Kluyveromyces lactis: one gene and its partners. The protein of the gene in region 1 binds, or shares a complex with, the protein of each later gene. Links are inferred from orthologs where the notes say so. Each region holds a gene or a part of one and is shown in the gene's direction. Other genes may lie near its edges. The genes, in order: ATP3, KLLA0_F05511g and ATP16.

Evidence for each region.
Region 2: the proteins of ATP3 (region 1) and KLLA0_F05511g are in contact, whole or in part, in a crystal structure (PDB 3ZIA), measured with the Saccharomyces cerevisiae proteins. The link is inferred for Kluyveromyces lactis from reciprocal best matches to the Saccharomyces cerevisiae genes ATP3 and INH1. Residues at the interface, in NP_009595.1 of Saccharomyces cerevisiae: Met41, Arg42, Lys44, Ser45, Asn48, Ile49; in NP_010100.1 of Saccharomyces cerevisiae: Ser23, Ser26, Thr27, Arg31, Asp37, Phe39.
Region 3: the proteins of ATP3 (region 1) and ATP16 are in contact, whole or in part, in a crystal structure (PDB 3FKS), measured with the Saccharomyces cerevisiae proteins. The link is inferred for Kluyveromyces lactis from reciprocal best matches to the Saccharomyces cerevisiae genes ATP3 and ATP16. Residues at the interface, in NP_009595.1 of Saccharomyces cerevisiae: Ala70, Ser73, Ala74, Lys76, Met77, Glu79, Ala80, Glu81, Leu83, Phe84, Asn87, Phe173, Lys229, Phe230, Glu231, Ile232, Ala236, Asn237, Val238, Asp241, Leu242, Tyr245, Leu252; in NP_010280.1 of Saccharomyces cerevisiae: Gln35, Ala37, Leu38, Pro39, His40, Glu41, Thr42, Ser45, Lys57, Val68, Pro69, Thr70, Val71, Gln73, Gly94, Gly95, Phe96, Thr98, Val99, Gln100, Pro101, Asp102, Gln104, Cys106, Thr108, Ala109, Ile110.

What each region holds. Positions count from the first base shown.
Region 1 is NC_006038.1:602,449-608,623, reverse strand, and holds ATP3 (F1F0 ATP synthase subunit gamma), read left to right. Parts: upstream 1-3,422; coding exon 3,423-4,292; downstream 4,293-6,175. Other genes in the region: inositol polyphosphate kinase KCS1, read right to left, coding at 1-1,930; FIG1 (Fig1p), read left to right, coding at 5,220-6,113. UniProt on the Saccharomyces cerevisiae protein: Mitochondrial membrane ATP synthase (F(1)F(0) ATP synthase or Complex V) produces ATP from ADP in the presence of a proton gradient across the membrane which is generated by electron transport complexes of the respiratory chain.
Region 2 is NC_006042.1:540,653-546,309, forward strand, and holds KLLA0_F05511g (ATPase-binding protein), read left to right. Parts: upstream 1-2,566; coding exon 2,567-2,836; downstream 2,837-5,657. Other genes in the region: homocitrate synthase LYS21, read left to right, coding at 494-1,819; RPP1B (ribosomal protein P1 beta), read left to right, coding at 4,345-4,659. UniProt on the Saccharomyces cerevisiae protein: Endogenous ATPase inhibitor, which inhibits specifically the reverse ATPase reaction of mitochondrial F(1)F(0)-type ATP synthase.
Region 3 is NC_006042.1:1,363,285-1,368,897, forward strand, and holds ATP16 (F1F0 ATP synthase subunit delta), read left to right. Parts: upstream 1-3,217; coding exon 3,218-3,697; downstream 3,698-5,613. Other genes in the region: type 2C protein phosphatase PTC1, read left to right, coding at 604-1,452; MED2 (Med2p), read right to left, coding at 1,711-2,553; MCD1 (kleisin alpha), read left to right, coding at 4,910-5,613. UniProt on the Saccharomyces cerevisiae protein: Mitochondrial membrane ATP synthase (F(1)F(0) ATP synthase or Complex V) produces ATP from ADP in the presence of a proton gradient across the membrane which is generated by electron transport complexes of the respiratory chain.

The sequences.
Region 1 (6,175 bases):
ACTGCCTGGTGCCCATTTTCAAATCAAGAACTGATGGGCACTTAAGCTTTCGAGTTAAGTCTTCGAGTAAGATGAATTTAGAGACAATAGTATGCGAAGTCTCTTCCACGGAAACAGATTCATGGTTGAAGGCACCTTGTTGTTGTTCGGGAGATTTGACATCTGATTCATGAACATCATCGTCCAACTTAAACATAATATCGTCATCTTCCAAGTTGCTAGGATTCACATCTAATACGTTATTTGTCGATACGGCTGCTCGCTTCATAGAATTACGCCGTAAATATTGTTCGTTGCCCAGGCCTCTTGATTTCTTATTAGAAGAAGAGGAAGAAGATCTCGAGTGTTTACATTCCTTTAGAGACGAGGAAGATCCTGTTCTAGTACGTGAAGAACGAGGACTATAACATACACCCGAGGGTTTCCGTCTCATGAAAGCTTCTTTGACCACCAATTCTTGTAATTTTGTGTTGACACTAGTTGATCCAGATCCTTGATTGGAATTACCCTTAAAAACCTCTCCTCCGTCAAAAGAACGAGACGACAAAAATGAATCTATTGGAGCACTAGAAGGCGAGTTTGAAGTCGACCGGGATGAAGAATATTGTTGATACAGTGAATTGGGTATAATATGCTTGTTGTCATCTAGCACTACTTCCGGTAGTGTAGAAATCCCTTCTTTGATGTCTTCCATTCGTGACAAGAATGTAGGTGATGCTAATCTATTACATGAGCTTCTAGATTGGTCATTAAGTGTTCTCTCATTCCTCAGATCATTACTGGAAATATGCGAGTTGTCATTAGAGGTATTAGTATTATTATTCGCTTTGAACTTGGTTGTATTGTTAACTATTTCTTCTAAGAAATCTTCCTTCGTGTGGAAATGCTGTCTGACGTTCAATACACCGATGTATCTTGGCATGAATTGAAGAAGTTCTTGATGCTCCTTTTCTATGGTTTCGTACCAGTTATTTTCTGTATTAACCAAAGCTTTGCAGACGGCTCTTTCACTGAATTTAAAGATAGCAGTGTGCCCTCCAACTTTGTTCGTGAAAGGTTTCAATTCCACCGCCAAGGGGAAATCACCGTGTTCTTCAACATCGTCGTCATCATCATCGTCAGCGATAGCACTTTCATCAGGAATTGTCTTAGAATTGAAACTTGGTATCTTATTTTCAATTCTCAGCGGTTCATCGTGCCGTTGTTGTTCTAAAGCTGTATTAGTTAACTTCCTTGGATATTCTTCATCCTTGTGATTTCTCGCAGCACCGATATGAATAGGGGGCACCACTACATCCGGGCCAAAGAGATTGACACTTGTCTTATCTTTCTCATCAATTATAGAGATATCTTTATAACTGGATAAAATGTGACGATCTTCATCTGTTAAGTAGATAGCGGACGCGGAAGTTTTTGGTTCTAATGCAACACCTTCTGTCGCATCCACATCTTCCAGCTCATGTAAATCTGTCAAATCTGTCGACTTAGTATTTTTCAAAACAGGTCGTTGGTCTACGCTGACCTTCATAAACGATTTAGGACCATGCGCGATCTCTGTCTCATTTGAGTTTGAATTAGATTTGGAGCCTAAGCCACCACCAGAATACTTCCTTAGGCTTTGATCAGGAATCGAGACATCTGAGTCTTTATCATCGAACACTCTCAAGTAATTAGCTGCTTTTCTACCATGAATTACAGAACTCTTCCTGTTCCTACTAGACTGCTGCTGTTGCAGCTGCTGGTTCTGACCACTAATTTGGGGTGAAGGATGCCGTTGTTTGTTACAACTATCGTCCATACTTAAATCCTGCAAGTGAGCCGCAACCAGAGTGGTCTGTTGTGCGGCATTTTCATTAGAGCCATGCCGTTGTACTTGCATCTGTTGCTGTTGCTGTTGCTGCTGCTGCAGGCCATTAACCTCTTGCTCCATGTGTTTATAAAACAGCCTGTAACAAAGGATTGGAAAACCAAAATAATAACAAAAAAAAGAGTCCTGTTACAAGAGATAAGAGAAGCGCAGATGAGAATGAAATCACAGAATAATATGAATACAGTACTGGCTTTCTTTGGCTCACCTGGCAAACAGCGCGAACCGATAATTGGGCCAGATTGAGGATATATCTATTAAGATGAATTGAAAGATTGTTTTTCTTTATTGATATATTAGATCAAGAAGCTTTAAAAAAAAAAATTATAACGAAAGACTGAATACTGATTAAATTGAACATGGAATAGATATCGAGATAGAAATTGAACAGATACTAAATGTCTGATGTTCACTATTTCTAAATGATGTTTCAACTGCAGGTGGCCCTAATTTCTGACATGCGAATGTCAAGATATGACATAACGTCCAGCAGCACCTGCACGCTACACTCTTCCTTTTTCAGTAACGGTAGTTTAAATTCATTTTATGTAGACAGAATATAGAGATGAGAGAGAATAAATAAAAGGTTTGCGTCAAGGTGAAAAGAGGGGAGGAGCAGTCTTTGCATGTGGGGGATCTGAACCCATGTGTGTAATGGTTTTAAATTGAAGATTGTGCCTTATTATAACCATCAAAATTTCCTTTTTTTTCCCCCTGCCTGGCATGCCTTTTTGAGTTGTAATAATAAGGGAAACGGAAGCATGTGGTGAGCATCCTTGCATGCACCATCAAATTATGTTTTTTTCAAACATCCAAATTAATATGCTCGCGTGGCGTAATGGCAACGCGTCTGACTTCTAATCAGAAGATTGTGGGTTCGACCCCCACCGTGAGTGCTTTCTTTGGATTTTACCACATCCGCGATAGTTTAATGGTTAGAATTCGCGCTTGTCGCGTGCGAGATCGGGGTTCAATTCCCCGTCGCGGAGAATTTTTATTTTTTTGACCCTAGCTGTCGTTACATCACGTGACTTTCCGCCAATGATACCATGGAATACATAACAAGTCCGGGTAAGACCGCTATATTCTCACAGAAATCAAAAATTTATTGCTGGACTCGTATATGATGATCCATATAATGGCGTTCCATCTTCAAAGATACACAGAGCCCCTTCAATTAGAGTATATATCTGGCCATATAAGCTGACTCTCTCACTCCATAACCGCAGCATTCTACTCAAGACTAGCTACAAATAACCTATACTATCCCACCCTATTCTCTCCTGGCTTCTGCCCCCCGTCTTTCTCCCTTTATACCTCGAATTTCACGACCCGGTGTGAAATTCCCAATCTTCGAAATAATTTTCAAACATATCGATTTCGAGGTTTTTTAACTCTTTTACTATTACAAGTGTGTATTTTGAATAATTTGATTAACGTTCCACACGGTGAATACTTGAATTGTATTTGCATTGAGTTGACCAGTCTACCTTTTCAACTGTTCTCTTTGTTCAACCCCGCAAGCCCAACGTAAGAAATATACATTCGAATAACAATGTTTGTGAGAAACACTGCATCCGTTGTACGTGGTACTTCCAGAAACTATGCAACCTTGAGAGAAATCGAAACCAGATTGAAGTCTATCAAGAACATCGAAAAGATCACCAAGACCATGAAGATCGTTGCTTCTACCAGATTGTCCAAGGCTGAAAGAGCTAAGAACAGTGCTAAGGAGTATGCCTTGGCCGATGCTGCTTTCTACAAGAACGCAGAAACTGTTCCATTGGAAGATGCTGAAAAGAAAGATTTGATCATTGCCATCACTTCTGATAAAGGTTTGTGTGGTTCTATTCACTCTCAATTGGCCAAGGCTGTTAGACTTCAATTGAAGCAAACTCCAAACGCTGATGTTGTTGCCATCGGTGACAAGGTTAAGGGTCAATTGCTAAGAACCAACTCTGACAACCTCAAGTTCGCTTTCAATGGTGTTGGTAAGGAAGCTCCAACTTTTGAAGAAACTTCTTTGATTGCTAACAAGATCTTGGAAGGTGGTGCTTCCAATTACAAGAAGGTTTCGATCTTCTGGAACGACCCTATCTCTTCTTTGTCCTTCGAACCTTCTAACAAGCCAGTCTTCAACGCTGCTGCCATTGAACAATCTCCTTCTTTCTCCAAGTTCGAAATCGATGCTGACAACAACGTTTCTCAAGATTTGTTCGAATTCACTTTATCCAACGAAATCTTGGCTGCCATGGCTGAAGGTTATGCTGCTGAAGTCTCTGCTAGAAGAAACGCTATGGATAACGCTTCCAAGAACGCCGGTGACATGATTAACAGTTACTCCATCTTATACAACAGAACCAGACAAGCCGTTATCACCAACGAGTTGGTTGATATTATTACTGGTGCTTCTTCTTTGGATTAAACGTAATATGAAGAAAAGAATACTTTTAATTTATCACTAAATTAGCTGGAAAGAGTTAAACAGGAACCTTCATACTGAAGAGGAAAGAGCATCCTCATCCCCTCTACAATCGCAGTTCCTTATCACCCTTTCTGCCTCTTTTTTTTTCTAAACTTACACCTATTTTCCACCTCTATCAATGAAAATGATATATTATTTGGTATTATAATGTTAAACTATCATTGGGTTTCCTTAAATTATCATTCTAAGACATCATTTCTATATTTTATGATTATGAATTGAAGAACTTAACAACAATTAAAAAAACTACTTTGAGATTTATTTCACTAAATATCTCTCTCAGAGGGCTATGAAGACGTTTACGCCTTTACATTTCCAAATGGCGATAAAGAATTATTATAAGAAACTAATATTGGCCTCTTTCAAGGTTCTACTCATATCGCACATATTGTTTTGAGCCACTTCCAATGAAGGCAATTGTTCGATCGAGTGTCAAGTTTACATATTCGGACTTTCGCATTTCATTCAACAACACTCTCGTCTGGCCTCAGATTTCTACTGTATACTGCCATTATCACTACGTATGTACCATATTTGTATGACTCTTTTAAAACAGATATATTCAATGCGAATCCCCCTTCGCCTCTCCTATGTATTATGAGGTTGCATTGGCGCATGTCTTCTGTCATTCATAGTCGATTCAGGTCTGTTTCATATCTGTATCACTGTTAAAAAACACTGAAACACTTGAATACTGGAACAAGATTATCAGATATGATGCAGTATTATTTCAGTTCATTAAACGTATATAACCAGATGCATTCATATTGCAAACTTTCAATGAGCTTTTAGTTTCAATTTACTTTCTAGTACAGTTAGGTGTAACTTAGCATCCTTCAACAAAACACTGATAAATACAAAATCATTATGTTTCTACCATTCACCTTATTCTATAAGCTAGGAAAACGTATTCCTAGGGTGCTGGTGTTAATTACTTCTTTTATTTCAGTATTTTTATTGGTATTTTTATTAGTGGGTTGTTACAACGTCGATCAGAGTTCAACGTATTTGGTGAAATATCAATTCAACGATAAATCTCCCCTATATCCAGTCATTTCAAATCAGTTCAGTTCACAGGAATATACTGATGGATTAGAAAACGTTCAAATATTTTCAGGGTATATGGGGATATGTATCAATAACATCCCATCGAATTATGACAGAAACTCCTCGAGCAAATCGTCTAAGGTTTGTTTCAACAGGAAGAAGGTAGATGACATGGACATATTTGACGATTTGACGATTAAGATTTTCAGTTTCAAGAATTCCAACTCCACAGAAGAATCAGAGTCCAGTAATTTAAATATATTGGAGTTAGCTCACCAAAATTCTGACGAACTGGTGCATCCTTATTTATTGATGGTTGTTACCATTTTCACAATTTTGTTGTTTGGAATCACAGTATATGCAATCATACCTAAATTGCCATTTAAAAATTACGTGCAGTTTATTATCATGGGTTTATCTGCATTGATCACCTTGTTATGGGCTATTGGTGCCATATGGACTCACGTTGCCATAAATTGCAATGTATCCCTAATTCCAAGAGCATCGATGAATATAATGACAGCAGAAAAAGGAAGTAAATCACAGGCTCTGTCATGGACTGCATTTACATTCATGCTCATAGACTGCTTGATAATGTGGATGGTATACTTTAGAGATAGAAAGAAGCTCGACGAGAAGCTGGATGACGTTAAGTCAACCAAAAACCCGTTCTCGAATAAATACGCATCAGATACAACTTTAAGCAGTGTATGATAGAAGCCAACGCAGCCATTGCACTTCCTAATATTATATGCACTTTGCGAATGATTATATCG
Region 2 (5,657 bases), on another chromosome or scaffold:
ATACCTGCTGCAAAAATCTACGTTCATCGGATTTAAAATCCACAGGAATATTCACGAAAATTGGTCATGATTAGACTTTAGCTCGAAATTGAGTGGGAATTTTACCATATTTCTTTTCATTGACCATATTTCAATTATGGGAAAGAAAAAATTCAGATTTCAGATGAGTCAAGCCATATCAAGGCAGTTTCGATGACATGAATGAGTCTGAAAAAAAAAAAAGGAACTGCTCTACATTTGATGGCAGGTGTTTCTTTGTCTAGTTTATATGCTCTCAGGTTCGACTGTTTTGTTTGTGTGATCGATTCTTGTTACAACTTAATAATATTTTTGTGATATTATTTTTTATTGGAGCTATATATTATACTATATATATATATATTTGGATTACATTCATTTCATTTCTCTTAGAGTATTATAAGGCAGAATAGGAGAATATTTCCATTTGAAGAGCAAAAAAAGTAGATAAACTAGCGATAGACAATAACAAATCATGAGTAGCAATCAGGATTTCCAACCAGTGACTGAATCTGCATCAAGTGTGACAAAATTTCAACAAAATCCATACGGTCCAAACCCAGCTGATTATTTATCAAATGTTAACAACTATCAGTTGATCGATTCTACATTAAGAGAAGGTGAACAATTTGCCAACGCCTTTTTCGATACTGAAAAGAAGATCGAGATTGCCAAGGCCCTAGATGACTTTGGTGTTGATTATATTGAACTTACTTCTCCTGTCGCATCTGAACAATCTAGAAGAGATTGTGAAGCCATTTGCAAGCTTGGATTGAAGGCAAAGATTTTGACCCATATCCGTTGTCACATGGACGATGCTAGAGTGGCAGTAGAAACTGGTGTTGATGGTGTTGATGTTGTTATCGGTACTTCCAAGTTTTTGAGACAATATTCTCACGGTAAGGACATGAATTACATTGCCAAGTCTGCTATTGAAGTCATTGAATTTGTCAAATCCAAGGGTATTGAAATCAGATTCTCTTCTGAGGATTCTTTCAGATCGGATTTGGTCGATTTGCTAAACATTTACAAGACTGTCGATAAGATTGGTGTTAACAGAGTTGGTATTGCTGATACCGTCGGATGTGCTAATCCAAGACAAGTTTACGAATTGGTCAGAACATTGAAGAGTGTGGTTTCATGTGATATCGAATGCCATTTCCACAACGACACCGGTTGTGCTATTGCAAACGCTTACACAGCATTAGAAGGTGGTGCAAGACTTATCGATGTCGCTGTATTAGGTATCGGTGAGAGAAATGGTATCACTCCTCTAGGTGGGCTAATGGCTAGAATGATTGTTGCAGCTCCAGAGTACACCAAATCTAAGTACAAATTGCATAAGATCAGAGATATCGAAAACTTGATTGCTGAAGCCGTGGAGGTAAATATCCCATTCAACAACCCAATTACAGGATTCTGTGCCTTCACACATAAAGCTGGTATTCATGCTAAGGCCATCTTGGCTAACCCATCTACATACGAAATCTTGGACCCTCACGATTTCGGTATGAAGAGATACATCCATTTCGCTAACAGGCTTACCGGTTGGAACGCTATCAAGTCACGTGTTGATCAATTAAACTTGAACTTGACAGATGATCAAGTCAAAGAAGTTACCGCTAAGATTAAGAAGCTTGGTGACATCAGACCCCTAAATATCGATGATGTCGACTCCATCATCAAGGACTTCCATGCTGAAGTATCTACGCCGCAATTGAGAGCTGTAAGAAGAGATGACAACGACGTCAATGACATTGATATCCAAGAGCCATCCAACAAGAAAACCAAGGTAGAGTAAACCTTAAGAAAGGAAATAAACATAAAAGTACTAGAAAGCTCATAAGACAAGTGTAACTTCTTCTTTTTGCCTCGTTCCACCAAGTACCTTGCTTTTATTCACGTTTATGTCAAACTACATTTCTCTCATCCATATATTAAGTATCTTAGTAATTTATTATAGTAACTCAATCTGACACGCACAATAAAAGGCGCTCAAACACAGGCCGCAAGAAATAAAAACTTGTGCAGATAACAGACGGCTGGTATATATGCTTACTCTCATTTCTTTTGATGTATTTTCTCTGGAGTAAAAACAGATGGAATAAGCCGGGAAGCAGGACATATTCCGTTCAAAAAGAAAGACCCCAGTTCTGACATGAGACACTAATAAATACTAACAGTAACTAAATGGGAGCCCGAATCCACCGCAACCGACAAGACATTATTAAGGGTCCGGAAGGAGACTTGACACTATGTCACTACTTTCATCATATATAACGCCATTCTTCCATCACTAAATTCAAGCCTCCCTAACCAATCAGGTTCTTTAGTGTTCTCTTTTTCACACACATTTTTTTTTGTCAAAAAGTTTCACCAAAAAAATGGGAAAAAATATAAAAGGAAAAGAAGAACCTAGTTCCCCTTGAAACACACATGTCTTAACGAAGTGGGCCCGGAACTGAAGGATTGATCACATAATTTGCGTCAGTTACAGTTAGACTAGATAAAAAGTTTTAACAAAGAATACACAAAACCATAACAAACAATGCTATCTCGTTCCACCCGTTCCATTTTGACCCGTGCCTCCAAGGTTCAACCAGCTGCTCTCAGAATGTACTCTTCTTCTGAAGGTTCTGTCGGTTCTACCAGATCAGATGGCTCTTCTGATGCTTTCACTAAGAGAGAAAAGGCACAAGAAGATTTCTATGTCAAGCAACACGAAAAGGAACAATTGGCTCAATTGAGAGAACAATTGAAGCAACAACAAAAGAAAATCGATAACTTGGAAGAGAAATTGGACAACATTACCAAATAAGGAGCCCTTTTTGTTCGATAAAAAGCCTTTAGAAATGACCAGCTGATTCTTCAAACAATAAAACTGACGTTTGTTTCAAAATATGGAGTTAATCGCTAAGCTGCGTTGTCTCTGTCGGATCTAATTCTTATTATTACCTTTATTTTTTTTTGTTATTTGTCATTATACTCCATACAAAATCCAAACCCAATTCATTAAACGCCCTTTTTCAAAGAAAAAAACCTTTAAAATATTCTACAATTCGATCAACTAAGCTGTCTGTTGATTAATGAGATCAACCCAATCGTAGTTAATGTTTTTTTCTACGCAGTCAAATTGAGAATTTTATTATTGACGAAATTATGAAAACCAAGAAAATGGATACAGATTTTTTTTTTATCTATCATGTCAGCTTAAAAACGCCCGTTGGTAAGCGCTCAAGGAAGAAGTGTTTACTTGTTCATCTTCGCCGTTTTACAGTTCTTTCTTATGGAAGCGTTGAGTATATGCGTATTGGCTCGCGTATGCGCTGACACCACACGTAAAGTTTTTGGTAATATTGAAAATGAGATTAAAAACAAAACTATAATCATGTAATTCAATTTTAATATATTAACATTCATTATACTATAATTAGAAATCAATTTCACTCAGGATTACACAATGGAATGAACAGTCAGTCCTAACCTTTCGTAGGTTGCTTCACAGTGATCCAAGGGAAACACTGAATTGAAGGAAAGATATTATTTACAGTAACTTAGTAGAAGTTACCCTTTCGTGGGGAAGTGAGTTCAGTCCTATTGAGATATCTAAAATTAGTAATCCGATATAGTGTAACGGCTATCACACCACGCTCTCACCGTGGAGACCCGGGTTCGACTCCCGGTATCGGAGAAAAAATTATCCTTTTTTTATTATCACTTTTGCATGTTATAATATGTAGCTCGGGACTGTTCATATGGTGCTGTCATGATTGTGTGTAAAACCCAGTCATCTCACTTTAAATTTCTCATTATAATATATTCTGTTTTTTCCATTAATGGAAATAAATCCCACTTAACACCCATACACTACACCCATATTGACAGTTCTGCCCTGAGATACGCATAAATTATATTGTATTTCTACCGAGCTTGACAACACTTTTTGGGGCCGGTGGTAGTTGAAACCCGTGCTATGGGATATTCTGACGATTGGCAACACGTAGCTGTTCCTGTTTTAAGTGTTTTAGTGTCTCTTACATCTATGGCGTTGTCTTGTACATCTTCTTCTGTGTAAACTTACCCTCCCTTGTTGTCGTTTTTGGATCAACAAAACTTCAAATCTTGTTCAGTTTTCCAGATTTTCTGAATTTTCACCGAATAATATTTTTCACTGGAAAACTAGCTAGATTTCAATAAGATATTGAACGTTTAATTATACAACACGTATTTATTGATAAGTTGTAGTTAGGTTGTTTGTTGAGGTTCAATTGCTTGTTGTTGCGATTTTGCTATAGATCCACATATACACATCATACCTAACTAGCAATGTCTGACGCTGTTATTTCTTACGCCTCTTTGATCTTGGCTGATGCCGGTTTGGATGTCACTGCCGACAACTTGTTGACTTTGACCAAGGCTGCCGGTGCCTCTATCGACAACGTGTGGGCTGAAACCTTCGCTAAGGCTTTGGAAGGTAAGGACATCAAGGAAATCTTGTCCGGTTTCCACGCCGCTGGTCCAGCTGCTCCAGCTGCTGGTGCCGGTGCTGCTTCTGGTGACTCTGAAGCTGCTGCTGAAGAAGCTCCAGAATCTGAAAAGGAAGAATCTGACGATGACATGGGTTTCGGTTTGTTCGATTAAACGTCAAAATATAAAAAACAAATAAAACAATTCAACACATTTTCTCAAGGAGCATTCCTCCCTCCCTCGAATTTCCTTTTAGCGTCATATTAATCTATTACTTACCACAGGTATCGTCATCATGAAGAAATATTAGAAACACATTGGCAAAAATACTGGCAGTTGGGACATACTACACTAATAAACAGAGCATATTTTGGTATCTCATCTACTATCTGTCGATACATCGAATATCGATTTTCTCGGAATTGGTACAGTTTTTTGGATATGTCATTTCATGTGTATATATAATTTGTATTCGTATTTCTTCTAGATATATATCATCTGTTTGGAATGGACCATATCAGACTTTGTGGAGTGTTTTTGATTCCTTAATATTTTTTGCGTTATAATATATATGAGATATGCCTGTGTACCTACATCTGTACAGAAATCCCCTTCTTTCGAATTGGACCCTGTGCGAACTTTACTGTGTAGAACTCTATGTTAAGCTTTCTTCCATTGTTAAATATACGTCTGCCGAATTGACATCTGAACAAAAAGAAAAATGATAAGAATCACCCGTAAACTAGTGAAGATAATATAGGTTTCTAGGTCACGTATTCAGTTCGTTAGCCTGTAATTGAACTATGCGTCCGTATCCCTTAAACGTGCCCATCCTTGGCTTTGCTATGGTGCTAATCGGTCTTATTTCTTTTTGAGGCTCAAGCAGAAAGCACTGCTGCTGGGCAACGAGAATTTTCTTCCAAGAATTTCTTTATTTCTGTTACATTAGAATTGGAAAAAAAACAAGATATTGATATACATAAAACTTGGACGTACATGAACGGTTTTATCCTTGCGATGAGTGAATACTTACGGAAGTTTGGGACTATTGCATTTGTTCGTAAGTGAAAGTGAGAGAACTTAATACTACATATATCCTAATAGTAAGGTCTAACCTTCCTGCTGAACTTTGTAGCAGAGGTTTAAAGAGAACTGAGAACAAGTTTAAAAGC
Region 3 (5,613 bases), on another chromosome or scaffold:
ATATATATATATATATATATATATATATATACTACAGTTTAATATCTTTAATATCTTCACATATCCAAATTCAATCTCCCTGCCGCCAACATTTATGCAATGATTTATCAATCTAAGTTTGTATTTTTAACCTTTTACACTTTCACAACTTTTCGGGCAGATAGAGGGAAACGATAAATATAGAAATTACGAAAAGTTGAACTTTAAATGTTTTAAAGATTGAAAGGACAACAGTATAATGAGATGAGTAGAAATAAACTGCAAACTAACAAGAGCCTTGCAGTATATACGAGGTGAAGAAACCTGTGACTTGTGATTGCGAGAGAAAGCACAATTAGTTATTGTCAATTTTTTTCCTTATCTCGTTTCTAACAACTGCATTATTGATTGGAATTTTTTTGATAAAAGTTCAATTAGTTCATATTTAAGGACTGACAAAACTTTGTGGTCTTTTCAAGGAGCTATATAACTGGATAAGTTCCATTATTGGTATTTGTGAGGGTTCAAGGCGTGTCAATTTTTTTCTGAGGTCACTGGACGTTAGTTTTATTCATTGAAGTCATTTAAAGAACCCTTGGATATATCGAGTTGCTTTTAGAAGTCATGTCAGACTCTCCGGAATACGAATTGACGTATAAGGTTGGGGTGGCCGAAAATAACAACTCCAAGTTTCGGAAAACGATGGAAGATGTTCATACATACGTTGAGAATTTTGCATCAAGGCTAGATTGGGGTTATTTTGCTATCTTTGATGGACATGTAGGAAGTGAGGCTTCTAAATGGTGTGGAGCGAACTTACACAGATACTTGGAACAGAAAATATTAGAGGATGAGGCCCGTGATCTGAGGGATGTTTTGAATGACTCGTTTGTGCATGCAGATAATGAGATTAACAATGCATTGAAGGGGAATAGCGGTTGCACTGCAGCCGTCTGCGTGTTGAGATGGGAAATACCTGATACCACAGTGCCCAGTGAGGACGAAACGATAAATTTACAACAACATAAGAGGATGTTATATACAGCGAACGTTGGAGATACAAGAGTGGTACTTTTCAGGAATGGCAACAGTATACGATTGACATATGATCACAAGGCTTCGGATATTCTGGAGCTGCAGCGTGTTGAAAATGCGGGTGGTTTAATAATGAAGAGCAGAGTCAATGGGATGCTGGCTGTTACCAGATCACTTGGTGATAAGTTTTTTGATTCATTGGTAGTGGCAAATCCATTTACGACAAGTGTTGAGATTACAACGAGTGATCAGTTCTTAATTATTGCATGCGATGGGTTGTGGGATGTGATAGAGGACCATGAGGCGTGTGAGATGATAAAAGACATAAATAATCCCAATGAAGCAGCAAGAGTATTAGTAAGATATGCTCTTGAGAATGGAACCACAGATAATGTGACCGTAATGGTAATATTTTTGGATACTTCGCAGGAGAACTGAAGTCAGTTTTCGATGTTAATGCAGTTGTATAAAATTATAGATATATATATATATATATATATATATATATATAAGCATATACATATCTTCCTAGATAATACGTTCTTCTTTGAAGCAGAGCTCTTTTTTAGAAATCAATTGAAAGGAGTTGCGTAGTTCATTGACCAATTACTCCATGCAGAATAGAGCATTAGAAAGCAATAACGGTATTATATTAGACCTACGGTTAATTCATGTCATACCGAGGTATGACAAACATCATATGTTAAAATCTTCCAAATTCAATTCATTATTGTCGTTAGCCGCATTCCAATCAATGCCGAGGTCGTTGAAATCGTTCAACGTTAGATAACTACTTGGATTGCCATTTTCAGGAACGTTTACTGCAGAAGGTGGTGCATTTGTATCATTGAAATTTATTTGAGGATCATTCTTTTTCTCGTTTCCACCAGATGTGTTTTGTAACCCGCCAAAACCTACCTGGTTATCCATTGAGTCAAACATAGAAAGATCCATGCCGTTTAAATCACCAAACTCGGAGTTGAAAGACTGGGCTTGAGTAATTCCAGCAGACGGTAGATCAGTATCAAAGTTTGTTAGCATGTCTATTGGGGTGTTCTTAGCGGAGTATCTCTGCTGCTGTTCATGTTGTTGTTCCTGTGGCTGTTGCTGTTGCTGTTGCTGTTGTTGTTGCTGCTGTTGTTGCTGTTTCTGTTTCAATTGTTTTTGCTCTAATTGCTGCTGTTCTAATTTCTGCTGTTCCAATAACTGTCTCTCTAACTTTTCTTGTTCTTGTTTCTTGATCTGTTCTTCCTCTCTCTGTTTCTTCAACTGCAATGCGCTATCTTTCACTGCCCCAACGTAATCCGCCGTTGTTTGTAATGAAACGTCTAAAGTATCAAGAAGCGAGTAAAACTGCGTTATTCTATCACCTAGTCCTTTCTGCTGAGCCTTTGAAAACCCTGTCGTCACCTTGGGATCTAGTTTAATAGTTTTCAATTGCTGTTGAGTTAACAAATCAGCTGAAAGTCGAAGTATATCATCGAAATATTGCGTCAACTTGTTCTCCTGTCTGTCAGAAACACCAGTCTTAGGTACCATTATGAAACTGACGTGTTTAGGACCGTAAGACGTCTGACCATCCAGGGTTCTGGGAGCAGTCCTGTATCATGTACGATGCGGATAAGTGATTATGATGAATCGTTCATTATACATTTCATTGAATAGTGGTTTAAAGAAAATCATGAGCCAATCAAAACGATGGAAATGGCCATATTCGACAGGGTAACAACATACATTTTATCAATCAGGGACCCCTAGCTTCATACATCATATCTACTACGTGCTACAAAAAGTACTGCAAACAGGTGTCACGTATATACACTCATTTCACGACTACACTAGAGCTAGGTGTCCCTCAACGGTCTTTTCAGCAAAGCCATTGACGTTTCACAGGCTTGAAAACACCTCTTCTCGAGTGCATCAACTTTTTCAGTTTTCAGTTTTCCAAGGCCTCAATTAGGATTTTTGAAAATGAAAAGAATGGGATTTTAGTTTTAATTACAGCTTTACGATATTTGTGAATAAGGTTTTACTAGAACTGTTCTTGTTGGACTACTGTTGTTCCTTCTTAGACTTTTGTATTTTGATCTTTGTTTAGTGTTATTAGATTTTGTTTCAATTGAATTCATTACAGTCTGTTTTAATTGCTTCTTGTCCAGAATCGAAATCATAAGAACACATTACCAGAAAATAATCACCTATAATGTTCCGTTTATCTGCTGCTAGAACTTTGGCCAAATCTGTCAACACCGTTGTTGCTAAGCGTACTTATGCTGAAGCTGCCGATGGTGCTTTGAAGTTGCAATTTGCTTTGCCACATCAAACCTTGTTTTCTGGTACTCCAGTTACCCAAGTCAACTTGCCAGCTAAGTCTGGTCAAATCGGTATCTTGGCTAACCACGTTCCAACTGTTGAACAATTGGTTCCAGGTGTTGTTGAAGTCTTGGAAGGTTCTTCTTCTAAGAAGTTCTTTGTTTCCGGTGGTTTCGCTACTGTCCAACCAGACTCTACCTTGGCTATCACTTCCGTTGAAGCATTCCCATTAGAGTCTTTCTCTCCAGAAAACGTTAGATCTCTGTTGGCTGAAGCTCAAAAGAACGTCTCCTCTGCTGACGAAGTTGCTGCTGCCGAAGCTGCTATCCAACTTGAAGTTTTGGAAGCTTTGCAAGCCGCTTTGAAATAATTGAGATGAACGAAGAATTACAATTGGACCAAGGTATAATACACTTGATACGGATACTCTACTTGGAAGCAATTGTTTTCCCGGTTGATTGTAAACCTGTCTCGGCGTTTGTATTATCCTTCGTCTGCTTTTTTTTCATTATTCTAATTCCTATTATTCCATTGCACAAGCTTACACAACACAACGACGAATACATTTCATGATTTAGCCTAAAGACCCTTTTTTGTTGCTCCGGTCATTGTCCTTTCTTTCCATACAATACTGTAGTGTGAACGTACGAATAAGACTGGGAACTATTGAGAATTAACCTAAAACGACTATTACTAAAATATACAACGAATTAAAACCCAGCGAATTAAAAGAAATCAGAAGAAATAAATACGATAAAACCTAAAAATTCTAAATGATATGGAGGTTGATACAAGTGATGTCTCGATTCCGTTTCAAAAGGGGGTTCTAGTCTTTGTTTTAATGACCAACAAACATAAATCTTTCTTCAATATACTATTCCTTCCTTTCTAACAATATCAAAGAAAACACTGGATCGATTATAATTTGTCTATCCCCGTTAAAAATATTATCAATTAAGAACCGAATTGAAAGACTTAGATTTTATATTTTTTAGCAGAAACGATTTGTGTGTAACTGATGTCTAGTTTTAAGATTCATATTCATATATACCGATTAAACTGACTGCGCATACTGAGAGAGATGATCTGGTTTTGGCATCAACAAGAGTTAGAAAGGCAGGGTAATAAATGGGTATAAGGTCCTCACTTGTTACCCGGATTTTATACCACGAAATCGAAATTTTTCCGGCGGGAAATCTTTTGAGGTCCCAGAAAAAGACATTGTTTTCCCCCAAAAATATTTTCGCGATTTTTCTCCATAACGCGTTTCCGTGATGAGATCTATAACCAGCAATCCTTTAACAAATATCATTGATAAACACTGGATGAGAAGTATGTCTATTCCATCATATTGATTGCACCTTTACCAATAATTTTATCAAATATATATATTACCTATGGAATTTTAATGTCGTGACCTCTGAAAAAAGACACAGTGCTATTTTATTTCATTTTTATTTTGCTAACCATTCCTTATAAGATCAAGTTCTAATCTCGATCTTAAGTTTATATCCATTTGCTATACCATTTGCAACAGGAACCACGAGCCTTATATCACCTAATCCAAAAATAAACAACGTATATGCCACCAAATAGCAATTCACATACTCAGGTGAGATTAAATACAAGCAATGGGCCGTTGGCTCAGATCTGGCTGGCTTCCAATTTGAGTAGCATCAATCGGAACATTGCAAAGACTAATATCGTGGAATCTGTTGAAGAGATTGCCAAAGCTGCAGGTGTTAATCTAGATGATGAATCTGTGGAACCTATCACATTACGTGCTTCCGGTGAGTTACTACATGGTGTTGTAAAAGTTTATTCTCAAAAAGCATCCTATCTGCTTACTGATATCACAGACTTACTGAGTAAAGTGAAATCTATCTTCAAGGGATCGCTGAACAAGAGCGTCACAATTCAGCTAGATACAGTGGCAAAGTTAGATCAGCTTTTATTGCAAGATGCGGTTACAGAACTTGACGTCTTGGAGATGCCCAGTTTGGATTTCTTGAAAGATATCCAAGTGCCAGAAGGTTTTTTGATCGCTGAACGATCAATGGAAAGACAAGTGCAAGGAGCAGCACCTGTAACATCCGCCATTGCAGCACAACAACAAGCATGGGATATGTCCTTAGAAGTTGGAAGGCGATTCCTGGCAGATGAAGATGATGACTTGAATGCTATTGAACATCACGATTCATCTCATTTGAAATTAGATTTTGACCTTGGTGATTCTAATCAAAGCAATAACACTAAATCATGGGGTGAAGGGACTCGTGTTACTGC